Linked DNA regions of Cricetulus griseus. The protein of the gene in region 3 interacts with the protein of the main gene of each other region in a pairwise test. Links are inferred from orthologs where the notes say so. Each region holds a gene or a part of one and is shown on either strand. Other genes may lie near its edges. The genes, in order: Traf3ip1, Cep63, Sptbn1 and Sh3bp5.

Region 1 (5,320 bases), on a different chromosome or scaffold from region 3:
TGTGACTGCTGCCTGGTCCTCTGTCTGCTGTGGCTCCAGTATGCAGACGCACCGTTTGAAGGACTGAGGCATAATACCTTTCAGTCTGTTCCCAAAGCCTGGGAGCCTCCAGCAGGCCTGGCTTGTGCTGGGTCTGGCATGGTGGGTGCATCCAGCTGAGGGTGATAGTTGTCAACTAGTTTGAACAGAATATTTGTCTGAGAGTGATTATATGTCAGGACCAAGGCAGGAACTGCATGGGAGACTAAGACTACCAGCCACCTGCCTTGCTGTTGGTACAGGAGCTGCAAAGGTGGGTGAAAACCCACAGTAGATGATGGAGGGAGAGTGGGGGAGAGGGACTGAGGATGGCCTGGGAAACAGGAGAGCCTACCAGCCATCCTGACAGGAGGGTGTCCAGTGAAGCTCGGAGCTGGGAAGTGTTGATTTGGCTGGCACGGTGAGCAGAAACAGGGAAAGCAAGATGTGGGTTTGCAGAGGAGCCGTCCCAGCCAGGTCCTTCCAGACTCCACGTGGCCATGATAGGGAGGTTAGGCTTTGACGTAGAGCAGTGGGAGATGGTGACATCGGTTATGTTAGATTTCAGAAGCTCCATGTTATTGTAGGCTTGGAGGGCAAGGCAGAGGTGAGTAGAGCATAGCTCAGCCTGCAGGAGACACCAGGTCTGGGCATGCAAGGACCTGAGGGTGTCCTTGTGCCTGCTTCTGGGTTCAGTGGAGTCCCTCATGCCTGGTGCTGTTGTTCTGAGTCCCCACTGCTGTTTTATACTGTCCTTCTGCCTAGTCCCCCACCACTTCCCACACTGCTGTGACACTAGGGTCTCCTAGGGCCACAGAGAGGGGATCCTGGGTCATCTCCCCCTTCTGTGTCCCCAAGAACTCTTGCCTCCCTCAGATGACTTCGTCTAGGAGCTCAACGGATGTCCTGTGCGAGTCAGATCCCAGGGGCCATCACCCCTGTACCCATGTGTGGGTGCTCTGATGCTTGTGCCTTTGAGGGCAAGGCTGCTCTTGTGTGGAGATGGGCATGTGTGGTTGTGTATTGCTCTCCCCAGCTGAGGTGCCCCAGCCCTCACCATATTGGCCTTAGGTAAACGTGTTCCTGGATGTGACACAAGGATTATGTGCCTTCACTTTTGTTGTCTGGTGGTGCTGGGGTTGGAACCCAGGGACTTAGAGATGGTTGCCAAGCTCTGCCAATTCGGCATCCCCAGCTGTGGAGCTTTGGCTTTGACTCCACCCTGTGGTACTTTTGACTGAACGGGCTGTGTTTGTGCCCAGAGTCCAACACTTGAAGAGAAAGGACCCTGGGTGCAGGTGCAGTCTAGGCTGCAGGAATCTGGTGGAGGTGTCTAGTCAGTTCGTTAGGGAGGGCTGAGCTTGCTGGTCCTGCTGGCCCCACGCTGTCACAACAGCTTGTTTCTCATGGCTTCCTGACCTCAGTCATTTTGCTTCACTTAGTTCTGTAGCATGGTTCCTTCACAGTCTGTGTGTTGTCCCATCCCGTCTCCCCACCCCCGTTTTTCTTTTTTTCTTTTCTTCTCGGTCTTTCAAGACAGGGTTTCTCTGTGTAGCCTTGGGTGTCCTGGAACTCACTCTGGAGACCAGGCTGGCCTCAGACTCAGAGATCCGCCTGCCTCTGCCTCCCGAGTGCTGGGATTAAAGGTGTGTGCTGCCACAGTCTTGTTATGTACAATGTTGTGGTTCTGGCTGACCATAGCAGACTGATGGGGACATGCTAGAGAAGTGCCCAGAGGAGCCCTGTCCCTGCAGGTTCCCAGTTACTGGAGGTGTATGTTCTCTGACTGCTCAGTGATTCACTGTGTGTGGTTCCCTTACATGAAGGCTAATTTTCTGATGCTTTTCCTTTCTAGGCGACTCCCCCAGTGACGCAGGTGAGAGCGGTTCTGATGTGTTTGGTGTGGTCATGCATGTGCAGATGTCAACATAGGCTCTCATTTCTGTGCTTTAAAAATGTACCAGTGAAATACTAAGGGAAACACAACATTTGAATTTATGTTAATTTTCTGTGTTTTAAATTTCAGTCTTGTATGTGGGTTATACATGTTTGTGTTTCTTTTTCCTTTTTTTGTTTGTTTGTTTTTTGTTTTTTCGAGACAGGCTTTCTCTGTGTGGCTCTGGCTGTCCTGGAACTTGCTCTGTAGACCAAGCTGACTTTGAACTCACAGAGATCTGCCTGCCTCTGCCTGTTTGTGTTTTATCTTGCAAAGCCCCATGTTTCAGGGCTCTTTCCAGAGTATCACATTTATTTCTGATGTTCAAATTCTAATTTATCTTTATGGTTTTCTAAAGTGTACATTTCTTTTACTTTAAATAGTAGAATAAATCCCACTGTTTTAGTAGTTTGGACTTGTAACTTGCAGGCTTAATCTTTTTATTAGAATGAAAAAACTGTGTTTTAGCCAGGTGGTCCTGCATGTTTTTAATCTCAGCACTCAGGAGGCAGAGGCAATTAGACCTCTATGAGTTTGAGTCCATCCTAGTCTATAGAGAGAGATCCGGGCCCTTCAGGGCTACATAGCAAGACCTTTGTCTCATAAACAAAAACAAAACTATTTACTGACTATGAAAAGAATATAGTATTCACTGTAGATAATTTGAAATGCAGACCAGTGTAACAAAATGAAAGCTACTTGGTGACTGCATTGTTTATAACTGAGCCATACACACTTCTAGGACTCCACATGTGTGAGTGTGACTGATGTCTGTTACTACACTGTGTCGTCAATTAGCTGGTAGGATGCGGAGTCCAGGATTCGAGTGGACTGTGGTTTGCTGAGCGATTGACACGCCTGTCTGTCTAGGGGTGCTGCTCCTTTCCTTAGGTTCAGTTCATTTGTATTAAGTTGTTGACTGGATCCATCCACCCTTGATTAGTTGGCCAGTTTGCATTAATAGAGTTTGCATGTCCCCATGTCCCCAAGCATCCACATTTAGATGTGAAACTCTTCTGTTTGGATGAAAAGAATTCATTGAAAATTTCAGTCATTTGATTGATGCCTTTTCAAATACTTATATTTGAAATAGTTGGTATTTATATGTGAGTAAATTTATTTTTGTTACTATTGAATTCTTTTTGAATTGCTGATTGGATTGTCACCTGTTCAGAAGGAGACGCTGGACCTATTGGCCAGGATAAACCTGAGGTGTCAGAGAATGCCGAAGTCCCCAGTGAACTTCCCTCCAATCTCAGGTGTGTCCTTCCGCAGTGCTTGGGAGTGTGGCCACTCCTAGGCCAAGCTGTGGCGGCTCCTGCCATAGCTTCTGCTGCCTATTCAACACTTGTGCAATGTCATAGTTATTATCTGTACACAGTAAGTGAAAACTACTTGTACAGCTTTCTTGTGTCTGAGTTACATGGCCATGTTTGGAGCATTGTAGCAGTTTGGGGAATCTCTAGCAATGGCGAAGGTCTGTCATGCTCCGATGAATGGCAGCTGTGCTGCGTTAATGGGTGTTCATAGTCCTCCGCAGAGTGTGTCTCTGACTGTCACACTGACAGTGGCATTGGAATGAGTATTAATGTTGACCTAGGCTTTTATTTTGTCCAGTTTGAAATGTGTGGGAGTGTTTCATGTCCTATTTTTTTCTTTCCAATACTTACTTAGGAGAGTACCTCGGCCTGGAAGTGCACGACCAGCACCTCCCAGGGTCAAACGACAAGAGAGCACTGAGACGCTGGTGGGAGACAGGTAAGACGGCCTGGCCAGGAGGTTCTAGAGGACTGGGCCCGTGTTCTCTAGTGTATGGGCCAGGGGTACGGGCATTTTGGGCCTATGCTGAGAGACTAGGTGGGGATGTAGGAGGTATTTCTGGGAAAACTTGCTTTTGAAGAAAGGTGGGGTTAGGTCATTGCTTTAAAGCCACAGAACAGCATGCATTCCAGACTGGCAAAAAGGAGAAATGTGTGTGCTCATGTTCATGATATCTCAGAATGCATGGGCCCATGCTGGGTTGTGTTTCTCTGACCTCTAGATAGAAGACTTTCAAAGCATAAAAAGGAATAGTTGAAGGCTTAACTGCATAAAAGTTAGAAACAAAAGGGTATCCCAAAGAAGAGGATATGGATATGGAGGCTAGGCCTAGGGGAGCTGCCCTGTGAAGAGGTGAGGTCTGGGTCTATCTGAGAATCAATGTCTGGGAAAAGGGGGTCCCAAGAGCCTTTGTGGCTCCAGCAGAAGGACCAGCAGGGCTGGGGGAGAGGGCTGGGGTGGCCTACAGCTCTTGGCAGTATGGAGGCTTTGGGCTAGTGAAAGGTGGTGGTCTCTCTGTCCCCACTATTCCCGGAGATTTCCCTTCACCGTCTGCGGCAATGGCAGTCTGGCTTCTTTCAGATAAATGTGACGTTTCAAGGTGCACAGGGCTGATGACAGCTGGTGGCCGATGAGCCACTTCCAATGTAAATGGCTCTCTTCTTGTTCAGGTCAGGAAGTGGTAAAACCGTCTCCAATGTGATCATCGACTCACAGAACTCTGACAATGAAGAGGATGAACAGTTTGTGGTGGAAGCTGCCCCTCACCTTGCAGAAATGTCAGAAATTGAGATGGTTAGTTCACTGGAGGGGCCTGTTCTTAGTGAATGGTTTTAGAAATTAGCACTTTGGCTTTTCAATTTATGAGATACAGTGTTTTCCCCCTAATTTTTCTGTAAGCCGACTAGTTTCTTTGGTTTTGTTTTTTACATTTGTCTGTTTGCTTAATGACTTTGAAAATTCAGCATAGCTGGTCTTTCTCCTTTTCTGCTCAGGTGCCGGCAGGGGACCTGGAGGATGAGGAGAAGCACGGTGAGTGTGCATGAGTCCACCTGTTCATGTGGATATGGCTGTCTGTGAGTGCTCTCACAGAGACGCAAGCGGCCATCCTGTGCCTAGCTGTGTCCTAGGAGGGACACTGTTGCTGCCATCATGTGGACCTGTAGGGAACCGAAGGGCCTGGAATTATAAGCGTGCGCTACCACACCCACCTCAGTCTTGTTTTTTCTTCATATAAAATATTCCCGGGGCTTTAAGGTTAAATGTACACAGCTAAATGCATTAAGAGGTGGAAGTTTGTTGTTTGTTTTTGTTGTTGTTGTTTGAGGCAAGGTCTCATTGTATGGCTCTGCCTGGCCTAGCAGTCACTGTAGACCACTTTGGCCATCCTCCTGCCTGCTCACGAACACTGAGATTGTAAGTGAACAGCATCCCTCCCAGTGCTGAGGTGTAAGACTTTAGACCTTCTTCTTTCTCCCTTTACTCTCCCTCCCCATAGGTACAGGTAAGGATATGAGTATTATTTCCATTTTAAAAGTGTGTGTGTGT
Region 2 (5,320 bases), on a different chromosome or scaffold from region 3:
ACATCCCTATATTTTTTTCTTTTAAAGCACAAACCCATATGGGTGGGGTAAAAATAAGAGAGGAAAGAATAGCCAAACATTTAAAAAATGTTTTTATTTTTGTGTGCTTGTCTGCATGTGTGTGGGCACATGCGTGTATGTGTTTGTATGTATAGCAGCTAGAGGGGGTACTAGGCATCTCCCTGTGTCATTCTCCATCTTGCGTACTGAGACAGGGTCTCTTACTTGAACCCTGAGCTCGATGACTTGGCTGGTCTGGCTAGCCACCTTGCTCCAGAGACTCTGTCTCCTCTTTCAAAGTGTTAGGATTACAGGCAGACCACCATGTCCACTCGGCCAGCATTTACATGAGTGTTATAGATCTGAGCTCTGGTCCTCCTGTGTGGCAAGTACTTCAGCACCTGAGCCATCTTCTCAATCCCATAACTAAACGTTTTATAGGAAGTGGAAGATGGATGGGGGCAGGAGTTGGAAGACCAGTTGGCTAACATGCTGGCTGGCTAATGACTGGATGGATGGATGGATGGTAAATGGGTAGATTAGTGTGTGAGTGGGTAAATGGATGAGTGGGTAGGTAACTGAATGGGAGTATGGACAAATGATTTTGTATGCCCTGATAAAGCCAATAATGAGTAAGTTGTAATTCATGAACTCTTCTGATATATACTGCAGGATCCTTTAAGAATATGTGATTTGGCAGTGTTAAAGATTTAGGGACCCAGCTGGGCGTTGGTGGCGCATGCCTTTAATCCCAGTACTCGGGAGGCAGAGGCAGGCGGATCTCTGTGAGTTCGAGGCCACCCTGATCTCCAGATCGAGTGCCAGGATTGACTCCAAAGCTACACAGAGAAACGCGGTCTCGAAAAACAAAACAAAACAAACAAACAAACAAAAACAAAAACAAAATTTAGGGACCCTAGTGTGTTCATATTCAGAACTGAGAGCTTTGGGGAATGTCACAGCCAGACTCTGCCCTGAGTTCTGTGCAGCTGAACGTTCTCCTGAATCCTAGTGGAAACATTGATCTTTCTTTATTCCCCTAAGTACATGCCTACATGCCTGCTACCTATTTGTTATGCTACCTTTACCAGTTATGTACCTGGAGTAGTTGTTAATAAACCACTAAGTCTTGGAGATTCTAGAAAGATGCAGGGAAAGACAGTATTATATATATCTTTTAAGAATGTGCAGTGGTTCTCAACCTTTCCAATGCCTTGACCCTTTAATACAGTTCGTCATGTTGTAATGACCCCAACCATAACATTATTTGTTGCTACTTCACAACTGTAATTTTTCTACTGTTAGGAATCATAATATATTTTTAGAGTTAGAGGTTTGCCAAAGGAGATCATGGCCCACCGGTTGAGAAATGCTAGTTTAATGATTTTTTTTAAGACATCAAAGTGGTAAAAATCCTGTCAGTTTTAGCTTTCTGTGGTTCCAGAGTTACATATAGTGTGGATATCTTGTACAAATTGTCAAAACATAACTATTAGGAAATGCTTTTTGCATGTTATCACCTAGGAAGCTGAGATTACTTTTCCAAATTAATCTATAATTATTTTAATGAAGCAGCAGTTTTCATGAATATTGGCTACTTTAAAGATGGGTAGCAGGTGACAGTGCAGCCCATGCCCTGCAAAAACAAAGACAGGTAGCAGTGGACAGTGTAGCCCCTTTGTAGTATACAAATACAAAGATGGGTAGTGGTTGACAGTATAGCCGCATGTCCTGCAAATACTCCTCTCTGAGATGTTGTCAGCCATGGGCAACTACTGAAAGGTCTTGTAATTCCTAGTTTACAAGTGCATTTACATGTTTGTGACTTGACAGGTAAATTATGTTTATCAGATCACTATCGACCAGCTTGCTTTCACAGTTTTTTTTTTTTTTTTTTTTACAGAAAATGAAATGTTAAACTGTAAAGATCACCATCATCTTATAGAATGCTAATTAAAATCTCTCATGAGAAAAAGTAGACCTGTATTATCAAGAAATAAGATATGTAATCATATAACTTAGACCAGATCACAGTAGTAATTCCTGCTATATACTTGAGTCCTGCTTTTATGTTGCCTAGCTTTTTAAAACTAGGTACCAAAAAGTGCTTTTGGTGAGAGGGTATTTATTTAAAAGCTACCCCTTTGGGCAGAATTCTTTTTAGAGTCTTGTGTTTAAATTACTTTCTTTGAATCAGTTCTTTTGATTTCCTTCCACAGGTATTCTGTGTGAGTAGGGGTGGGGTGGAAAGGGTGCCCCTCATTCTCCTTTAAGAGCCATGGCTATTATATTCTTGATCTCCCCTATCTCTGATTCTTGAAGCTTTCCTCTGCCCTGTTTCTACCCCTGATGTCGAGTACAGGAGGACGCCATCCTGCCCCCAATTTCCTCCTCCCTTCCCTCTAGGCAGACTGATGCTTTCTTTGTGTTCATCTTAACACAGCTAAAGACAAATCTTCACTTTCTCTAGGTAAAGCCACAGATTAGATAAAACTGGAAAAGGAACTATTTCAGCCAACACCGTTGCAGATTGATCATAAGTACCCTTAAACATACAAGTGATTCTAGTATTCTTTTTTTATTAGGCAAAAGAGATTTCACTAACAGACCTTCAGGAGAATTATATTGAGGCATTAAATAAATTAGTGTCTGAAAATCAACAACTACAGAAAGATCTGATGAACACCAAATCTCAGCTGGAGCATGCTACTCACGTGTGTACAAAAAAAGATGGCAGGATCTTTAAACCAGCACGCAGCAGAGTAGCTGAGTTCAAGAACGCAGAGTTTAAGTAAAGTTCCTTAAAAGTCTCTTTGACATGTGTGTGCTGCCGTGTGATTTCCTCTGCTTTGAGAAGTGCAGTCATCACAGGCTCTGGGTTTAATTCTGACTGCAGAGTGCACAAGTGGCTCAGGTGGTTCGGCCTTCATTTCATTACAGCTTTTGTTCTGTGCACCCTGCTTATAGGTGTGAACCCCATTTGTTCCCCAGAGCGTTTTCATGCTGCCTCCCACCACCTCTATCCCACCTGTTCCATAAGAAGTAAAACTTGGCTTATTATAAAAAGCGTCCATTGTATTTTTGGTCAATTAATATCAGGTTGTTACCGTAAGAAAGATTCAATGAGAAGCCACTGGCTTCAGTGTGTTTTCCTATCAAAAGCCTTTGGTGACACTCTCACCCACAGTGACATTATGTGGCTGCCTTCTCTGGGCATGGGGCTGTCCTGCCTGGTCACTCTGAATCACTGTGGTAGCTTGTTTGGCCTCTGCTATGGGGCAAGCATGAGAGCAGAGCTTGAATGAGTGAGGAACACTTGTCCTTACATGGGCTGCTCGTTTCTAAGTGACAGCACCTTGCTACCTAGCCTGTTATTTAATGTTCAGATGAGCATGCTTCTTTCAGCATTTATCGGAAAGAAAATTTGCTACAATTTTTCATTTATTTTGTTTTCTAATCTGCTATCCAGGCCAACCCATGGCCAGCACAGACATGATGGAATAAAGACTGAGCAGTACAAAACAGGTCACCACTCGCCTCGAGAACAAACGTTGGATAGCATAGAACCCATGGCCAGGGGCCCCAGCCCCATGAGTCCTCACACCAGCCCTGACAGCTCCACCGTGTCTCTGCCTTCCAACTTTCTATGCTATGCTCACTCTTTGCCTTCAATGCTAGATATAAATGATGGCAACTTTTCTGACATCCTGTCTGACTGTATGAATGACCAAGAAGAGTTTGTATCTTCGGTATGGAAACGTTCTAATCTTAACATTTATTTTTATATTTAATTTAAGGTGAAAAGGGTGTTTTGTTTTACTGGGTCCCAATCAGTAGTACCCTTTATTATTTTCACACATTTCCACCATGCAGTTTTACTCATGAAGGCACATTCAGCCAACATGACTTCAAACTCACGTTCTGAAATGAGTGTAGGTATTCACTGACAGTAGCCTGCACCTTCCTGCCTGCCTTTTCTAGAGAGGGCTGACTCTGTTGCAGTGATTGCATCAAGGGCTGTTTCTGGATGCCAGCAGAGTTCCAAAGCATGGGCAGTGATAAGGGAAAAGGGGCTGTTGGGAAGGGGCTGGTGGCAGAGGGCAGACGGCAGTGCATCTGAGGTGTGCAGAGTGGCATTTGGGTATCTGAGATGGCCCTGGTAGTAGAGGCTATCTGTGACTCTGTGCTGGTTCCCCCACCACTAGGCTCCACTGTTCTTTGTCCTCTGTAGGGAAGCACTTGTGTTGGGCCATTTCATTGCCTGTTGTCAGCTGTAGTCACATCCTTGTGAAGGTTTCAGTATGATTTTTAAAATGTGTCAGCAATTCCATGGAAAGGTTTCCCTTTAGTTTTCAAAATGAATGTTTTACTTTCATGTAAACAAACAAACAAACAACTTAACACCTAGAGAAGTGACTTTTTTCCTAAGTTTGGCAGCACACCTTTCCTGATTTATGATATGTGAATTTTATGGATGTCACTTTTTCTGAAGAGTGTGAACATCCACGTGTTTTCCTTCAGAAGTACCCAGTACTTGGTGCTAGTACTCCAGGGGGCCAGCGTAGTTGATCTGATTATTCAGCAGTTGCCTGTTGGCTTGCCCGCTAGACTTTACTGTGGTCCTGCTGTGCCCATGTGTGGACACACAGAGCAGGAGAGCTGACTTGCATGTTCCTAATGGAGGTAGCACAGGGTGGCCTCTGTTACCTGTCACAGTGTTCTCTGATGATGGCATTGTGTAGTGTAAGAACCTCAATTCCATCTCCAGTTAGTGTGCTGTTGGGATAGTCATTTCTCACTTTAGAAACTCATTTCTGTTGTGTCAGATGGAGACAAGATACTCTTCCAGGCTGTGTGTATGTCTGTTCTGTGTGTTTATTTACACAGTGATTTGTGCTAACTCAGCATTCAGGGTGACTTCCAAAACATAACTGTAAATGAGGCCAATTACATGTGCTAGATTTCTGTATTTATTACCTCCAAGCCCTGAGATCAGAAACATAGCTGGAAGCAAGAGTTGCAGATCAGAGACCATGGATGGAATTTTAAGAAAGGGAAAAATACTGATTTTTTTTTTAACTGGCATCTAATTTGTTTTCTGTAGCTTTTCAGAGCTTTCAAGTGAGAGTAACTTTCAGGGTCTTGAAATAGCAGGCATTGGCTGTGTTCTCGAGTGGCAGGCAGGCATTCAAGACTGAGCTGAGATACTCTCAGACTAGTGACGAGCTGTTTACACTTCACATGGACACTGCTTGAGTCAGAAAGAAAGAGACTTATGGTGCAGTGTTTTTAGAACTTACCTTTTTTTTTTTTTTTTTTT
Region 3 (5,858 bases):
CGCACGCACGCACGCACGCACGCACGCACGCACGCACGCACGCACGCACGCACGCACGCACGCACGCACGCACGCACGCACGCACGCACCCAAGCTTGTTGTGTGTATTTGTGCCCATGAAGTCAGATTCCCTGGATTGGAGTTACAGGTAATTGTGAGCTGCCTAACTTGGGTGCTGGAACCAAACTCAAATGGTCCTTAGTTAGAGCAGTGGATACTTAACCACTGGACCATGACTCAATCCCTGAACATGATGTTTTAAAATAGAAAATATATGTCTTTCCAATTGTAGTAGTTACTTATTAGTTACAAAAAATGTTATTCTTGTACTATATAAGGTTGAACATGACATAACATGCCAAGAAAAATCAGAGAATTACACTTGGTCTTTTTGAAGAAAAAGTGCTGGGTAATATGCATAGTAAAGAAAGCTTACAAGAGGAGCCCTCTGAGCTACAGTAGTAGTTTTTTTTAGCTGAGACCCTGGCTCTGTCCTCTGCATACCTGTAAAGTATTGAAGGACCCAAGTCTACACAAGGAAATCTACAGAATAGTAGAAAAGGCCACTAAAAGAATGCTGTTGGTTAGGGCTCAACCTAATTAAAGGAGTATCAACGCTGAGCACAAAAGTCAGTAAGTTAACAGAAATACTAACAATAAACTTGGCCTGTAAGGTTATCACTAAAAATACACTCTTTAGCCAGGCAGCAGGAGGGTCACTTAAGCCCTTGAATTTTAGATCAGTGGATCCTGTCTTAAAAACAACTAAGTACAAAATAGGATCTTAAAATGAAAAGTTCAAAATTATTTTAACAACAACAAAACCCAACCAGAAACAAAACCAAAAACACCAAGTGATTGCCCTTCATGTTTAGCTAAATGTGTTTTGTAGTAAAGTCCTTCTTTCTCAAAATAGTACCTCCACATGGAAAATCACACTTTCTTACATCAGGATAAAAGAAGCAAACTTGCCAAAGACACCGCTGGTGTCAGGTTTTTGCTCAGGATGCTCTCTACAACACCACAGAGGTCCTCTCCCCTTGCAATGAAAGATGACCTAGGCATAGTGCTTTCCCCGCCCTAATACTTTTCATTACTGCAGATGAAGTTTTTGGGTCACTGCAGAGGTGACAGTTACAAAGTGCTTAACCCAACAGAGTTCTGCAGCTGCTGTGTAAGTTAGAACAGCTAAACCTCCTGTGACATCAATACGGTATTTTTTACAACATAGTAAATCCAAAATGTCTGCATAACCCATGCACATAATACTCAAAAAATCTTTATGCAGCACAGTTTTAGGCAGCCAGCACAGCCGTGAAGCTCAAATCCAAAGTCCCATCTTTGAATAGCCCTTAAGTATGAAGGGCTCCAGATAATGTACACACGCATAACACACACACACACACACACACACCAACCACAGACACTATACATGCACACCCTACATACACACACCACAGAGACCACACACCACACACTTACCACACCACACACACACCACACACCATACCACACACATACCAGACACCACACACCACACATACACAACACAGACACCACACATACAGATACCACACACTTACCATACCACACACACACACACCACAAACACCATACCCATACACAGACACCACACACCACACAGATACCACACACTTATTACACCCCCCCACACACACACCACATACACACCATAGACACCACCCACATACACAGACACCACACACACACACACACACCCCATACCACACACACACCAAACTTACCACACAACACACCACACCCCCCCACACACACCCCACACACACACCAAACTTACAACACAACACACCATACCACACCCACACACACACAGACTACAAGCTGTTCTACTCTGCACTAACAGATTCATCGGAGATTAAAAATAAAACAAAAGCAGGCTCACCCTTGGCTTTGAAAGGCTAAACTTCCAGTTAGTATATGAAGTCTGCCTTCATGTTTACATTTTAGGACAGCCTGGGGTGACATTTGAAATTTATCCCACCTTATACCTCATAAACGAAATACAGAAATGGCAGCTTAAAGGGACATCTCCTTGTACCAGTGGGGACTTAAATGGTACTGGGAACCATTTCCTCACCAGATACCAACAGCAGAGGCCTCAACCCGTCCCCAGCAACACCTATGAAAATATACCTACAAGTCTGGTTTTGAAGTCAACTAATTTGTTATCAATCATGACATTTATCAACAAACCCTTAATAGAAAGTCAAAATAAATAATAGTACTTGGCATACAGAAAAATCAGATTAAAAAAAACAGGTTAAAAGAATCACGTAATATTTTCTTAGAACCACTGGAATACTATATTTTAATAAATGCTTTCAGGAGCATATGATCTGAAATGAAAAATCATTTCACTTCAAAGATGGTTTCCTAGGGGGGAAAATACATTTTCAGTAATGACCAAAGATAGACAAGGAATTACAACGTCATGCCTGTGATGATCTAATTAATAAGCACCAACTTTTCACAAATGATGGAATTAATGCCTATCTGGTTTATGGGCGATGCACAGAAAAGCTGAGAATCCACAGCGAATGTACCATGGCCTCTGTACACCGCTGGGTCGCGTCCTTCTGCAGCCCCTCCCTGCAGCGCTGATCCCTCCTTAGCATCAGACTCCCGCCCGCATCCGCAGGCCAGCTGCTTTGGCCTGCATCAGTGCTGCAGGGCGCGCCTCGGTCCCCCAGAGCCAACAGGCGGGGCAGGAAGAGTCGCCCCCAAAGCGAAAGTCCCCCCACCCCCAACACACCCTAGGTGACCTGCTCCTCCCAACGCCACATCTCGCCACAGCAGCATGACAAGGTAGAGGCCAAGGGCTGCCCTGGGCCTGGGTGGGGCCGGGCGGGGGCCGCAGGCTCCGGGTGGCTGTGCCAAGCCCCGCCGGCGAGAAGCCCAGAGGCTGCGATACTGCTGCATTGTGCTGCATCACGGTGAGGGCACCGTGAGCCATCCATCTTGCCAAAAACGCACATCCCCGCCCAAAGAGCCCGCACCGAATCCATTTTCTCTTCTGCTGAAGCACTCCCACACGTCCCTCTCCTATCCGCTCTGGCTTGACTGCAAAAAATAACGGGCAATGCTTTCCGTACAGCCTCCCCCGTTCGATGGCAGCACCTGGCACCTCTCCTGTCACAAAAACAAAGGGAAGGCTCCCTCGGAGCGGCTGTCGTGAGCCGGTGACCAGAGGCTACCAGCCCACCTACCCCAGACAGGGCCCGAGGGTCCCGGCGCCCGCACTAACCTGTTGAAGACTGGATGGCAGGAGGCTAAGGCGGGCGCGACGCCCCAGGGCGGCTCCCCCAGTCCTGCGCGGGCGCGGGGCTGGGCGAGGCGGGGGTGGCGGGGCGCGCGGGGCTGCAGCAGAGCAGCCTGGACCCACGCTGCTCGCAGCCCCGCACGGAGCCTAGGAGAGCCCCTGGGAGACCCCACGCTCGACACCCACCCCCGTGACAGGGCCCACGGCACCCGGTGGCAGGAGTCCTCACTGCGGAGTCCGCCGCGCCCCGAGGGCCGCCTCCCCACCCCCACGGCCTTCGGGGCGCAGGGCAGCAGCGGCGTCACGCGCCCTGGCCCGCGCCCCTCCTCCGCCCGCCAGCCCGCCCGCAAACAGCCTCGGGTGAGTTGGCATCCTCCTGCCTCCGACACGAACCTACCTCCGGGGGTGGGGTGGGGGCGTCGGGGTCCCGTCCTCCTCCCGCTCCTCGGCGGCCGGGCGAGTGGGCCGGGTTGGCGACTCCGCGGGGCTGGCGGCGGCTGGGGCCGGGGCTCACAGGACGGGACCAGTGGGCGCTGCTGCGCGGGGCTGCGCGCTCGCTCCGGGCGGAGAGGCGGCCGGGGGAGGGACTGGAGGAATCCGCAGCCTGAACGGCGACAGCTGCACTGATTCCGGGGGCTGGGCGGGCGCGGGGCGGGGAGGAGGGTGGAGAGAGCGCGCGGGGCGGGCGGGCAGGCGGGCGGGCGGGCGGGGGCGCGGCGCGGGGCGGGCAGAGGGGCGCGGGCGCGGCCAGGCTCGGCGTCGGGAGCGCGCACACGCCTCCCGCACCTCCGGAGCTTCAGCGGCTCCTCCCTGACGCGCGCCCTCCTCTCTGCGCGCAGCCCTGCTGCCAGGCAGCCGCCCACCCAGCGCGGGCTCGGTTCGGATGCAGCGCGGATGGGCGAGCGCGTGCACGCTCCCCCGAGCAGTGGCCCTTCCCCGGCCCTGGGCCGCGCTCCCTGCGACAGGGTCTGGCCTGGGCGGGTGGGTAAGGCTGCAGCCGCCACCGCTGGGAGCCATAGGACAATGGGGGCTTTTGTCCCTGTATCTGGCGAGGACCAATTACACGTTTAATTTGAGGCTAATTCGATTACCGCCATGGAAAAAGACAGGCTAATTTTCTCGCAGCCTCTTCTCGCCCGCGATGTTCACCTTTAGAACGTAATGGAGAAAGAGTTGCACCGTTTGCGCGGTTTCAGCTCAGTGATGGTGATGATGTCCAGCTTGGAGAGGGGTGACAGTGACCTCTCCGAGCGAAGCTTTGGGCGTTGGGGCCAGTCACGCGTATTCCTTCAAGCGGTTAATGTATTCCTCCATGGTGAATGCTTTTTCACCTTTCCCCCAAGGGTAGCTGGCAGTAGTCTACAAGTGGTTTATCTAACCCATGACTCATGGTCAATCACAGGCTCAACTTTAACCTGAGGTCAGGTGCTCTGTCCTGGGTCTTTGGAAGTGAGGTCTGCCGGCTGCTGTGGAGGACCCCTGAGATGGCGTGAAGATTGGAGTTCTCCCACCTCCATTTTCTGACACTGGACGTTTTCTTGAATTTATGTTCACTGCCCCTCACAAACAAGCCCACTGGCCACCCTGTCATCTCCCAGGCTGTGCAGAAATCCTGTAACTGCTCTCAAGGGAGGAAAAGGATGGTGAGTCATCCTGACTACGAATAGAAATGCTCTTTGGAGAACAGGGTCTGGAGAAACTGGCTTTCTCCCAGTTCTGTAAGATGCCCAACACAGCACTGTGGACTTTTCAAGGGTCCTTGACTTAAAAAGCCCGAGGCAGTGTTCCCTAAAGATCTACCCGCCGGCTTAAAAAGCACCCCGGGCTGATGGCTGTATATTTTAGTGTTAAAGTAAAACAAAATTCAATAGTCACACCACTCTGAAGGTGATTGTTAGTTCTGGGGCTTTACTATCAGTTTGGATTTCATACCAATGTTTGCTTTTGATTTATATGCAAAAAGTTGAGGAAGACAAGTAATTTAACGTTTTCCTCAGAAGGTTGATAACACAGCCAGAAGGTCAGTTCTTTCAGGGATAGGATTCTTTGTCTATTTGTTCTTTTGAATTGTTGTTCATATTAAGAGGCACTAGAAAGTACTTGTAGAACTGAATCAAACAGAAATGGAAGCTGCTACCCTTCCTGAGTAATGAAGGAAATCCACTAGAAATGGAAGTTGTTTACCTTTCACAGGTGGGGGGGAGGCAGGGCCCCTGGCATCACCCCACCCACACTGTTAATAGATCACCAATGAAAACTTCATCAAGACTGGAAAATGTCTCACTTCAAATTCTTTCAAAGCAATTGTGAAATGGCAACACCTAAGTGCCTTTATTACAGATAACAGGTACTTAAACACATCTTCTCTTGAAGGATGGCTCATCTCCTAGTCCCCATTCCACTCCCCCTAAAATCTTATTTTTTTCTTCAAAAAGGAGTGCCCCCCTCCACAACCAGTAATTAGTCCAAAAAAGATGTGAGAGGCACAGATTCAGACTCTCACTATAAACACTTGCCTCACCATTCCAAACTCTTGTCTTTTGATGGAAAATAAAGA
Region 4 (5,320 bases), about 110 Mb from region 3:
TGTTTTGTGGGACACTGTGTTCATTGGCTTGCTACTGAATGTTAGCATTCTGTGGTCAAGTAAGTTTGGAAAGTGTTCCACCTCCACCCCTCTTAAATAGTCTAAGTACATATTACAACATTCAAGACTTGAAGTTCTGAGGACAGATTTAAAAGGGACTTGGGACCCAGATTTGATTGTGACCCCACTTTACCACTGCACATGGGCTAGTGGGCCTTCATGTGTTAGCTGCTTCAGCTTTGTGACGGGGACAGTGTCTCCTATGGTAAGGAGGGTTGTGAGAAGTGACAGCTGGCAGGTCTCCCTGGGGTCTGACCACATGGGTCTCTTCTGTCCAGGCATATCCTGTGCAGATAGGATAGAGGACTGACCTAATTTCTGTTTATCAAGAAAACTACACTGTGACACTCAACACTTCACAACTTTTCTTTTCTTTTCTTGTGGAATAATCCATTGTGGCTCTTTTAGGCCCTGTCTTCAGACATTCTTTTTTGTTTTTCCTTATTAGTATTATCTTTAAAAATAATTTGTGTATGAGTGTTTTTCCTACATGTGTATCTATGTATACCACATGCTTGCCTTGTGTTAGAAGATGTCAGATGCTCTGGAATTGCAGGCATTTGTGAGCTTCTATGCGTATGTTGGGAATCAAACCTGGGTCCTCTGGAGGAGCAGCAGGTGCTCTTAACCACTGAGCCATTTCAAGCCCCATCCTCAGCAATTCTTGAAAGCCATCAACAAATGCTGAGTTGCCAGGTTGAAGGGAAATGAAACTATAATGTAATCAGTGGCTATGAGTGAGTTACTTTATACATCACTTCATTAATCCTGTCCATAGAGCATTTGAGCAGTCAAGTTGCTTGACAAGGCCACACAGTCAACAGTGGAGTTAGGATCTGAATTCATTCAGTCTGTCTGAAGCAGTATAGTACTTAGAACAATCCTCTCAGGAATGCTAGAGGCCATTTTTAAAGATGCCATAGGTGTAAAGGGAACTAGGAAGGATTTTAGAAGCGAGAATGCAGTCTGAGAGGCTCTGAAAACAAGATGGTATGTCTCTGTGCCTTGGTTATTCTGGTCCACAGATTCAGGCACAGTCAGAGCATTGAAAATGAATGTTCTTTGTTGCAAACAGTTAAGGGCATCTCGTGAGATCAGAAGATACTACAGACATTCCAACAGCTCTTGCTGCTTACGCCAGAAGGAAGACCTTCAGTCTTCACTGTAAGATTGCCTCTGTGTAGGACACATTTCAAAGGGCTAGTGTCTAAATTTATCTGTCTTCCCTTTCCTTCAGTGCTGGGGATGGAAACCAGGCCTTTGTATATACTAGACACGCACTCTGCCCTAGCCATCCCTAGCTGTCCTTTATCTAGGTAGCACTTGCTGGCACAGAATTAGAGCAGGAGTTAAATTCCTCTAGAACACAAACTTTGCACAGGAGCTAGCTGCTGCTTCCTTTCAAATGCTCTGGAGGCTGGTCAGAAGAAGGCTCAGGAAGGTTGTAGGTCCTGCCGACTCCATGCTGTGGGACTGCCTGCCCGCAGAGAGCAAGCCTTTAGGAACTGGGGTACTACTTAGCAGACTCCATGTGACTGATGTTCTCTCTCACCATAGTGGCTTCCGAAGCCTTTGAAGACGACAACTGTAGCAACTTAGTGTCTGAAGATGACTCAGAAACCCAGTCTGTATCCAGCTTTAGTTCAGGACCAACAAGTCCATCTGAAATTCCTGACCAGTTCCCTGCAGTGGCAAGACCCGGCAGCTTGGATCTGCCCAGCCCTGTGTCCCTGTCTGAATTTGGAATGATGTTTCCAATACTGGGCCCTCGAAGTGAATGCAGTGGGGCCTCCTCCCCTGAATGTGAGGTGGAACGAGGTAAGTTGCAACCCAACTTGTGGATTGTTTGTGCCTTTGCTTGGGCTCTGCCTGACCAGCTTCAATAACATAGAACTTAGGTCCTTTGTCTCTCCTTAGAACAGTCCCCTTCACTGGTTTGATTCCTAGCTACAAAATGAGGATGAGTGTATCTCTAAAGATACACACTAAGGAATAAATGCAGTGTATCACCCAGTGCTGGAGAACCCCTGAGATGCATGGTGGGTGGCGTGGGAACTGCAGAGGGCTCAGGCGGCTGATGCCAGTGCCTATGGTACTCTTGGAACTGTCAACTCCCATTTGGCAACCTTTGTATCTCTACAGGAGACAGAGCAGAAGGGGCTGAGAATAAAACGAGTGACAAAGCCAACAACAACCGCATTTTCGGCAACAGCAACAGTGGTGGTAGCAGGGGCAGGAGCCAAAGCAGCACATCCCTTGAGGGCCAGACCTTGGAAACCCGTATGAAGCAACTCTCTCTACAATGCTCAAAAGGAAGAGATGGGATTATTGCTGACATAAAAATGGTGCAGATTGGCTGATCCATGTGCAATGGATGGCTATGGATGGCTATGACCCATGTGCAAATCACATTTATACATGAAACTCAAGAAACATCGTGCCAATAATCATTTAACATAAGCCAAATAGTATGCATTTACTCTAAACTGCACTAACCAAGTTTCAGTGATCTTGAGGGCTGAAGAATTTCCCTCTGATAAGAGCTCTTGGGCTGGTGTGTTTTTCAGAGCAGAGCCATTGCAGATAAACTGTGACCAGGGTCACAGCCTTTGCAGAACATTCCCTGTAGCGGCAGTGTGGAAGCAATAACTAGTTTCTGTGAAAGAACCTGAGCCAGGAGGAGAACTGGACACTTAGCCAGACTGGGGTCACCAGCCTACATCTCTATCCCCTCTGCCCCCTCTGTTTGGGGAAACTGAGATGTTTTCTCCATTATATCACAGGGCACCAAAATAATTTTCAAACTCACACAAAAACTCAAGTGTTCAGAACACATTGTTTTGACCTAGTGAAAGCTTAAAAACAATGCCAAGAACACAATTCATCTTCATCACCTCTGGTGCTCAGAGGGGGATTTAAAAAAAAAAAAAAAAAAAAAAAAAAAAAGCATGTCTTCTGGGACACCAATTAAAACCATTTCCTAGGAAAGCCACCATGAACTGCACTTTTGGGGGGTGGGAAAGGTGAATGAATGCCAATGTGGGGATGGGTAATGAGGTTGCAGGGACATAGCATAGAGGGGATTTGTGGCTGTGGGAGGCTCTATAGCCTGACTTTAGCCTGCCAGCCAAGGGGGGGTATATTCTAAGACAAGTGCATGTGAAGAATGGTTGCCACTGTTCTATCTAGACTGACAAGAAGTTAATTTCTCTGTAGGCTGTAACTTCTACAATAATTGCAATTATTTAAGGTTTATGCTGCACCTAGTATTCCTTAGAGGAAACGGTCCTTAAAGCTAGGAAAGGGAGTGGGCATGTACTGGCAAAGGCTGGTAAATAGAAGCAATGGATGCCATGATAATAGTGTGTTTAGACTTAGTGTTTATGGTTATGCATATTTAGGGCACTGTATTTTATCTGTCCTGTTTTATTGATTTGGCTTTTCTGAAGAAAAAAGCACCCCCTCCTCCATTTCTTAATTGTCTCTTAATTCTGTCACAGCTTGTATATTTTAGCCATGTATGTATAGCTTCATACAACAGTGGTTTCTCCTTTTTTATTGATGGATACAGTATCCTAATTACAAGGTTATTTTGTACTTGTTTTAATACCTTGAGGGTAATAAAAACTAAGAAAACTTTGTGACTTCAGATGAGAAAGCCTGCTGTTGTCTTACTCTGGGAAATGCCATCGCTTTAAGAAAGCCCATAGAGTGCAGTGGGCATCTGCTCTCTTTTTCAGGTAAGATGGTAATCCTGGTCATTTAAGATCAATCCCAAGGTCTGGATTCGAATTCTACTCATGCATGGTGTTACACAGGTGTGCACCAAGGAGAGACAGGCAGGCAGCCCACAGGTGACACTCAGCTTCACTGGGGTGGGGGTAGGGGTGGGATAGGGGCTAACATCCTGTGATATGGTTTGTCAGTCTGATTTAATTTGTGGTACACCTGGGCACTTTTTCAAAGGAGTATCAGATTTTAATGTATATGCTGCATACTGAAATGTGTTGTGGGATAAGTGCCCAGTTAGTGTTGCCTATTAATGTTCTCAGAAGTCCCTTTCAACTGCTCTGTTCCCTGTAGCCGAGACTTTGTTTATTTCTCCTTCCTATCAACATTTGTGAGGTAAAGTTGTGTAGTTTAATGTTTAGGATCTACCACGGGGGATTTCTGGGTCACCTATCACCCTGAATGTTGTTTCTTCCATTTGCCTTTTAAGTGGGAGTCACACATTTACAGCAGGGAATAGAAGATAGAATTTTCTTGTGTTGGGAATCATAGTACTATATCCCTTACTTGGGCACTGGGGCTTCATAATCTGGCCTCTGACCTCAATTCCCCATCCCCATCAGCCTGGGAATGCACAACCTTTGACCTGGCTCCTGTTTCACAGTGCTCCTCACATTTCCAAGTTAAAGCAGGGCCACTGTTGCCATCATGGCCTTCTTACTTTCTCTGCAATGTTGGGATTCGCTACTCTTTTGACTTTATTTCAAGTTTATATGGCCAAGTGAAATCTCATTGATACAAATCTTCCAACTACTGAAGTAAAAGCTATCCCTGAATCATGTATTTTCATGCACATCTATCTTTTATAAGGAATACAGTAGATTAATCCAATAAATCAAGTTCTGAAGGTTAAACTAAAGACACTTTCCATAAGTATAAATATTTTATTTCAATTAAAGGCAGTAGAAATAGTTTTGATAATTATAAAGTAGAGACAATGACAGATCCCATCCTATTTTTCAGAATTTTTAAATCTTGAGCATCATTCTGTACTGATGATTTTTATGTAAACAAATGGGAATTTACACAACACTAATTCCTGGCAACTTACTTTTTATGAATGCTGTATAACTCCATCACCACCTACTAAATTCTCAAGGACTTTCCAAATCCCTGTTATGAAAGCACCAACTACAGAGCAATTTAAAAACTCTACACGCTAAACTTTAAAATTTCCAGTCTCAGATTACTACATTCACCAACCTGCTAAGAATTAAAACAGCAACAATAACTATACCTCAGTTCTCTCTACAATGGATGAGATACAATGTATCTAACACTGACAATCTTCATTCTTAAGCCTGAGCATCTTCATGCTAAGCTAAATAGTACTTTTTAAAGCTTTATTCTCTCATAACATCTAGGCAACAATAAACATTTAAAGACACAATTAAAATTTAAAATTAATTATGACATTCATTTGGTAATTAGTTGCCTAAGATGTATGGTGGGGTTCAACATGAACAAGTTA

Evidence for each region.
Region 1: the proteins of Sptbn1 (region 3) and Traf3ip1 interact in a two-hybrid assay, tested with the Homo sapiens proteins (2 studies listed by BioGRID and IntAct). The link is inferred for Cricetulus griseus from reciprocal best matches to the Homo sapiens genes SPTBN1 and TRAF3IP1.
Region 2: the proteins of Sptbn1 (region 3) and Cep63 interact in a two-hybrid assay, tested with the Homo sapiens proteins (2 studies listed by BioGRID and IntAct). The link is inferred for Cricetulus griseus from reciprocal best matches to the Homo sapiens genes SPTBN1 and CEP63.
Region 4: the proteins of Sptbn1 (region 3) and Sh3bp5 interact in a two-hybrid assay, tested with the Homo sapiens proteins (2 studies listed by BioGRID and IntAct). The link is inferred for Cricetulus griseus from reciprocal best matches to the Homo sapiens genes SPTBN1 and SH3BP5.

What each region holds. Positions count from the first base shown.
Region 1 is NC_048595.1:443,032,597-443,037,916, forward strand, and holds part of Traf3ip1 (TRAF3-interacting protein 1), read left to right. Parts: intron 1-1,873; coding exon 1,874-1,894; intron 1,895-3,128; coding exon 3,129-3,213; intron 3,214-3,628; coding exon 3,629-3,712; intron 3,713-4,443; coding exon 4,444-4,567; intron 4,568-4,767; coding exon 4,768-4,804; intron 4,805-5,320.
Region 2 is NC_048597.1:210,822,621-210,827,940, reverse strand, and holds part of Cep63 (centrosomal protein of 63 kDa), read left to right. Parts: intron 1-2,585; coding exon 2,586-2,791; intron 2,792-3,469; coding exon 3,470-3,749; intron 3,750-5,320. UniProt on the Homo sapiens protein: Required for normal spindle assembly.
Region 3 is NW_023276807.1:77,071,118-77,076,975, reverse strand, and holds the start of Sptbn1 (spectrin beta chain, non-erythrocytic 1), read right to left. Parts: upstream 3,913-5,858; 5' UTR 3,699-3,912; intron 3,662-3,698; exon of another isoform or gene 3,137-3,661; intron 2,848-3,136; exon of another isoform or gene 2,688-2,847; intron 1-2,687. UniProt on the Homo sapiens protein: Fodrin, which seems to be involved in secretion, interacts with calmodulin in a calcium-dependent manner and is thus candidate for the calcium-dependent movement of the cytoskeleton at the membrane.
Region 4 is NW_023276807.1:188,329,661-188,334,980, forward strand, and holds the end of Sh3bp5 (SH3 domain-binding protein 5), read left to right. Parts: intron 1-1,617; coding exon 1,618-1,878; intron 1,879-2,202; coding exon 2,203-2,420; 3' UTR 2,421-3,709; downstream 3,710-5,320. UniProt on the Homo sapiens protein: Functions as a guanine nucleotide exchange factor (GEF) with specificity for RAB11A and RAB25. Inhibits the auto- and transphosphorylation activity of BTK. Plays a negative regulatory role in BTK-related cytoplasmic signaling in B-cells.